Linked DNA regions of Ovis aries. The protein of the gene in region 2 interacts with the protein of the main gene of each other region in a pairwise test. Links are inferred from orthologs where the notes say so. Each region holds a gene or a part of one and is shown on either strand. Other genes may lie near its edges.

What was found. The genes of interacting proteins can lie anywhere in the genome.
Region 1: the proteins of ATXN3 (region 2) and DNM2 interact in binary tests that used the Homo sapiens proteins (3 or more experiments, as listed by UniProt). The link is inferred for Ovis aries from reciprocal best matches to the Homo sapiens genes ATXN3 and DNM2.

Annotation. Positions count from the first base shown.
Region 1 is NC_056058.1:13,095,365-13,099,016, reverse strand, and holds part of DNM2 (dynamin-2), read right to left. Parts: intron 908-3,652; coding exon 747-907; intron 1-746. UniProt on the Homo sapiens protein: Catalyzes the hydrolysis of GTP and utilizes this energy to mediate vesicle scission at plasma membrane during endocytosis and filament remodeling at many actin structures during organization of the actin cytoskeleton.
Region 2 is NC_056071.1:54,591,539-54,595,190, forward strand, and holds part of ATXN3 (ataxin-3), read right to left. Parts: intron 2,344-3,652; coding exon 2,258-2,343; intron 2,108-2,257; exon of another isoform or gene 2,052-2,107; coding exon of another isoform or gene 2,047-2,051; intron 1,838-2,046; coding exon 1,771-1,837; intron 1-1,770. UniProt on the Homo sapiens protein: Deubiquitinating enzyme involved in protein homeostasis maintenance, transcription, cytoskeleton regulation, myogenesis and degradation of misfolded chaperone substrates.

The DNA.
Region 1 (3,652 bases), on a different chromosome or scaffold from region 2:
AGGCTTCTATAGGGACAGAGCTCCAGGAGATACTGTTGAGTTTAAAAAAAGAAAAATGGGGGGCATCCATGACTATGGATAAAGGGGGAAATGTGCTTCTCAGAAGTCCTTTCTGCATTCATGGACAGAGAAACTCAGGCAGTGTTTACAGCGGTGGGTGAGAGGCAGGAGGCACATGGCGCTTCACTGTATCCTTTTGAATCCACCTGCCAATGCAGGAGACAGAGGTTCAATGCCCAGTCTGGGAAGATACCACATGTCGCAGAACCACCGAGCCTGTGAGCCACAACTACGGGCTCAGTGCCCTAGAGCCCGTGGTCCGCAACAAGAGCGCCCACTGCAATGAGAAGCCCGTGCACTGCAACCAGACAGCAGACCTCTGCTCAGCACCGCAAGACAAAGTCCACACAGCGACAGGGACCCAGTGCGGCCGCAAATCAGTCAATAAGCTACTAAGAAAAAAAACGAATATATGTATGTGTAACTGAGTTGCTTTGCTGTACAGAAGAAATCAACACATTGTAAATCAACTATACTTCAATAAAAAACTTAAAAAATAATGGTAACAATAGTAGTGATGGAAGTAATAATACCAGCACTGACTCTTCTCCAGGCACTGATGCAAACGTTCACTGAGCTCAACTTTGCTAGAATGAGTGCTGCTCTAGCCTAGCGGCAGCACCGCTGTGGAATGCAGCTGTTTTGCAGTGCACAGCCTGAGCAACTGCACCAAGTCCTCACCGTACCTGATTCAGAGTCTTCTGCAGGTGCGGGGTGCCCATGCGGTCAGCTATGTGCCGGTAGGCTGGGTGGGAAAGGAAAAACTTCCTCTCAGCCGCCAGTGCTGTGCGGATGTCCTTCTTGCCCTCAATATCCTTCTGGCTGCGGTTGACCACTCCAATGTAGCCTGTGGAGAGAGAGGGTCAGGTCACGGCAGTGCCAGGCAAGCCTAGGAACCCAGACGCCCACTACAGGCCAGCCATGGGGCTGGGCAACATGCAGGTGTAGACATGGATCCTGCCCTCCAAGGCACTCCCAGAGGAGGTGACAAGCCTCATGAGTTACTCAGAGGCAACACTGAGAATCCAAACACAGGGCAACGTAAGTGTTCGGAGGAAGGAGAGATTACATTCAGCCTGGTGAGAGGGACTGGAGAAAGAACAGCTCGGGAGGAGATGAAATCCACAATCTGAGCTTTAAAGACAGAAAACAGTATGTGAAAAAGAAGGCCAATGGGAAAAACTAATCGTGCCAGATATTAATACCTGTTCTAAAGCTATTACATCTGGGGACCTTCCTGACAGTCCAGCAGTTAAGACCCTGAGCTTCCGATGTAGAGGGCACAGGTTCGACTCCTGGTCAGGGAACTAAGATCCACAAGGAGATCAAACAGTCCATCCTAAAGGAAATCAACTCTGAATATCCATTTGAAGGACTAATGCTGAAGCTGAAGCTCAAGCTCCAATACTCTGGCCACCTGATGTGAGGAGCCGACTCACTGGAAAAGACCCTGATGCTGGGAAAGACTGAGGGCAGGAGAACGGGGTGACAGAGGATGAGATGGCTGGATGGCATCACCGACTCGATGGACGTGATCTGAGCAAGCTCTGGGAAACAGTGGAGAACAGGGGAGCCTGGTATGCTACAGTCCATGGGGTCACAGAGAGCCGGACACAACTTAGTGACTGAACAACAATGGTTGGCAAAGAAACGACGTCTGGTGGCCACCAAAATGAACTCGCTGGGGATTCACAGATTTCCACATAACACTGCAAGTACTTGAATGGGTGTTTTTTCAAAATTACTGTATTTGTCTTAAAACTGTCTGAAGAGAACATAAGCAACAGTTAATTGTAAGAGAAGCGGGGCTTATACAGGAGGGGTTGGGAGCCAGCTTCCGAAACGACAGTTTAAGGTACCATTCGGCAATTTTTTTTAACACAAAAAACCATTAGCATAAGAAAACTACTTTGAAAAAAGGATCTACAATATCTGGACATAAAGGAGTTGGAAGAGGACGACGGAAGGGGGATTCAAGCAGCCAGGAACCCCAAGTGTGGACCCAAGCTACCCCACTGCACAGGTGCACGAATGGGTGTTGTGGGAAGCAGGAAACTGAGCCTGGTGGCCAACACCTGGGAGGCGCTCAGTCAGCAGATGTGTGTATTGTTGTCCATATAATGAAAATTGGAAAGGTGAACTGGGCCTAGGTGGTGAAAGGTCAGAAGTGATACACACATATCTGTACCCCCTTCTCTTAGTGAGGACTGATGTTTCTTTGGAGAGGAGGGGCACAGCTATCCTCCAAGCTATCCTCAGCCAACTATCCTGCCAAGTCTTGTGCAGACCTGACGGTTTCTCGTCCTCTTTGGAGCTATCATCAAGTCCACCTTACAGATGAGGGAAGCGAGGCAGGCCAAGGAGGGGTCCCTTGCCCACATGGTCACATGGAGGACCAGTAGCGGCAAGGTGCAAACCCAGATTACTGTGAAGGGCAAAGAGCAAGGGGCAGAGATGGTGTCTGGCTTGTTCTGTGGTTCCTTTTGTTAACCTAAAAAAGAAGGATCCAGGGACTTCCCTGGTGGTCTAGTGGTTAAAAATCCACCTTGCAAAGCAGGGGACACAGGTTCGATCCCCGGTCGGGGAGGATTCTACATGCCTCGGGGCCACTAGGCCATGACTACCGAAGCCTGCGCGCCTACAGCCTGTGCTCTGTAACAAGAGAAGCTACTGAGAAGCAATGACAAGGCCGAGCACCCCAGCTGGAGAGTAGGCCCGCTTGCCTCAACTAGAGAAAAGCCTGTGCAGCAAGGAAGACCCAGAATAGCCCAAAATAAGTAAAACAGAATAAATAAATAAAATTTTAAAAAAAAATCTGAAACTCCACTAAACACGAGACTGATCAGCCTCTGTCTAGATCTAATTACTGGTTTGCAAGAACTATAATTGGCCAGATCCCGATGAGGTGCACAGATCAAGTGGCTGGAGGGGGAGTCGTTGGAACAGAAATGTAGGTGTTTATGTGTCAAATGACAGGGTGCCTGGATTTGCTTCATAATCCCCCAGGAAGGGAAGAACAACAGGAGAGGATATTTGGGATAGTGACGATTAGCTGTGTGTGATGAGCAACAAGGCTGGTCTAGGGGAACGCCTCACATTTTTCTCTCCACGTGAGAAAATGCTTGACAACAAGTACTGAACATTAAAAGGTACAGGGACTTCCCCACCGTCCAGTGGTTAAGATTCTGCCTTCCAACACAGGGGGTGTAGGTTTGATCCCTGGTCAGGGAGCTAAAATTCCACATGCCTCCCGACCAAAATTCCAGAACAGAAAAAAAAAGAAGAGGAAGAAGAAATATTGTAACAAATTCAGTAAAGCCTTAAAAAATGGTCCCTGTCCAGAAAAAAAAGTCTAAAAAAAGAAAAATTACAAATCCTTGGGAACTCTTAGGAAGGAGAGCCAGAGTAGTAACTATGGGGAGAAGCTGAGTGATGGGTGATTTCAGTTTTCTTCTCCTGGACACTTCTTTTTGTTCCCCAAATGAGCAGTTGTTCACCATACAAATGAAAAAAGAATGCACACACATCAGAAGAAAAAGCTAGGGCTTCCGTGGCGGTGCAGCGGTCAAGAATCCGCCTGCCAATGCAGGTG
Region 2 (3,652 bases):
ACAATTTTAATCAAAAATATAAATTAGAACCAAAGATGATAAGCCATAGTTTGACATTTCCAGCACGGCCATTCCTTTCTCCAGAGGATCTTCCCAACCCAGGGACTGAACCCAGGTCTCTTGCATGGCAGGTAGATTCTTTACCATCTGAGCTATCAGGGAAGTTTGTCTAGGATAATGAGTTTGTCTAAGATAACGTGAAATCTGTAAATTCAATTTTGAAGAACTAAAATTTACAAAATTTCTCAAAATAATAATGTAAGTTTACATACAAATCAATACAAAGGAATTCCAGACTCTAAGACTTCAGATCTTGAAAGTGAAGAACAGCTGATCGTATTTTTAAATATTTAAATAAAACTCCTAGGTTAAACACACTTGGGAGAGTTCTGCCTTGGTTTTTCCCAGAGTCGATTCCTACCTGCGTGGGTCTCTCCTGCACCAAACCACACTAACTTACTTGCTCTTTGCCACCCAAGAGGGACCATTTAAGATGAAGCTGCTTCTAAGCAGCAAACTTAAAATAGTAGGGCTTTCATTTTAGAATTATCTTATATTGATTTAACTCAATGTACTCTTTCCTGTTTCCTTTTGTTTCATATTAGCTTATTAAAAAAAGATTTATTTAAGTGTACTTGAAATGTAGCAGACTGTAATATATTAAGTGTAAAATGTGAAGTTTTAACGTATGCATATACCCACGAAACCATCACCACCACCAAGGGAGTGAACATTTTTGTCACTGCCAATTTTCCTGTGCCCCTTGTAATCATCGTCCATTGTTCCTTGCCTCCCTCATCCAGGCAATCACTGTCATTAAAGATTAGTTTACATTTTCTATGCTTTTATATAAATGGAACACTATAGTGAGCCCCTGGTGGCTCAGACGTTAAAGAGTCTGCCTGAAATATGGGAAACCCAGGTTCGATTCCTGTGTTGGGAGATCCCCTGGAGAAGGAAATGGCAACCCACTCCAGTATTCTTGCCTGGAGAATCTCATGGACTGAGGAGCCTGGCAGGCCACAGTCCATGGGGTCGCAGAGAGTCAGACACAACCAAGCAACTTCACTTTCTTCTTTTCTTTTCTATGGACTATAGTATTTTGTGTCTAGTTTCTTTCACTCAGCATAATTAATTTGAGGTTCATCCACATTGTTGCATGTATCAGTAATTCATTCTTTTTCATTACATTAATCTGTTTTCAGTAACCCTCTTTCAAAGAGTCAAAATTCTGAGAAAAAGGACATTAAAAGTTGTCAAAAATGATATTGGGTATACAAAGATCACTGGTAATTATTTTTAAAAATACCACTTTTGGTACATTTCTTGATCTTATAAAAGCTTTGCTCAATGCTCAAGACACATTCCATTTTTTTTTTTAAATAGAAATGATTTATGTAGACACATGTATTACATGGCATTTTGGAATGTGAATAACCTTGTTAAGCTAAAGCAAACATGGTTGAAAATTTTTATTCATACCGGACACTATTTCAGGCTTTGTGACACTGCTATGCTTAACATAAACCTATGAAAAACAGAAGTTAGCTGACAGAACATCTTGGTCACATAAAAACTTACTTATGTTTAAATATGGCTGTCTTGTCTTAAATAGAGAATTTTACTTATGTCCTATCTATCTAGATTGTAACCAGGCCACAGGAACACATTACTGGTGTGTTCCTTCATCTTCAAGGCACCAATTCCTCACATTAGTTGCAAATGAGGTACAGAATGAGAAAAAAGACAGGCAAGGAGGAGAAGCGTTACCTGTTTTCCTAATTTTCTAACTGTAAACCAGTGTTCTTTATAGTTGCATATAAATGACCTTTCATTTCTAGAAACAGGAAAAAGCACATATGCAATATTAAGTTGAAATATTAGAATCATATTCATTTAGTTTGTCAATTAGAAAATACTATACAAAACTATGATGACTTAGGATTATATTTACAGTTTTAAGAATCACTGATTTTTAAAAAATTACAAAACAGCATAAATCTCTGTGGAGATCGGTGATGCCATACAGAAACAACAGCACCACACCCCATTCAAGGATCAGCTCTGCATTGCCACACATGGAGGGGTCAGGGAGGCTCGGGGGACAGATGTTCACAGACAGCCCCAAAAGGCAAACCAGGAAAACCTGAGGGGATAAAATGGGGAATATCACAACAAAAGCAGGCCAGGCTTATTTTTCCCCTTTAAGAAAGTATAAATTTAAAAATCAAATATAGGAAAAGCAAAATAATCTTACATGGGATCAATCCTGAGCCTCTGGTACTCTGGACTGTTAAACAGGATTAGTTCTAAACCCCAAACTTTCAAGGCATTGCTTATAACCTGTTAAAAAAAAAATTTTTTTTTTAAAATTCCAAATAAGTAGCGTTAAGCCACATTAGTTGTAGAATCTATTTTAGTTCATAGATAAATTTCCCCAGTATGCTATGGGTTTTACAGTGCATGTGTGTGCGTGTGTATGTGTGTGTGTGTGTGTGTGCACATGATATATCACTATATGCACCAAATATCCATAACTAACAATATAGACATAACATTTAAAAGAGTACCTTTTACACTAAGTTTCTGGAATTGTATGAGAACCATACAATTCCTAGATAGAACTGCCTCCAAAATCTAGATGTATATTCTATCCGGGAAGTGCTACTCTTAACACAAGTCCATTGCATTCATTTGGCTGCTATGAGTTCTGCTTTAGAAAACTGACAGTCAACTTACTATACGGAATAATGATAATTTTATGTCTATCAAAATGAATTATTTCTGAGGATTTAAACTGAAGTTTTCATCAATTCTAAATTTCTTTTATCGTGGGTTTGTGATTTGTAGGAAATCAAAAGATAAACCTGATTATTTCAAACTAAGAAAAAAACAAAAGGAAAAATTTTGACAATTCACCACCTACCCTCCAAGGTACCCAACAAAGCAGCACGTGAGCCAGGCATGAGTATAGACAAACAGTGAATAATCTGCACTGGGCAAGTGTGGACTGGTGCCCAGAGCAGCACCGCACAAACAGGAAACGGCGCGCGCTGAGCCCATTCAGGCCCCTGCTCCGGGCCCAGCAGCAGCTGTTACCTGTAACCACCCACAGTGAAGCCCTGGCTGCAAATGCTGGTGACCGAGGAGTCCAGGAGGACTGAACAGGGGAACACATACAGAGATATCTGCAGGTCCCCCAAGAGAGCTTCTGAAGAACTCTGGATCCACCTCACAGGTGTTAGGAATGGAACCAAAGAGCCACAGATGAAAGAATCAGTCTCACGAGTATCATATATATATTCACCCACAGAATTCAAGGGGAGCGATAAGTTCACAAAAAGGGAAAAGATGAAAGCTGCAGACCATAATGAAGGAATCCAATCCTGGTAGGCTGATTTAAATGCAAGGTTAGCAAAGGGTTCCCCTCTGTCCATGGGATTTCCCAGGCAAGAATACTGGAGTGGGTTGTCATTTCCTTCTCCAGGAGATCTTCCTGACCCAGGGAGCAAAACCGCGTCTCCTTCATTGGCAGGCGGATTCTCTACTGCTGATCCATGAGGGAAGCCTTTGAAATACTGTGACTTACTGGAATTACATTTATTAGCACACAGATTCAAATTAACAACCTCCTTTGAAAAAGGCCTTCTCT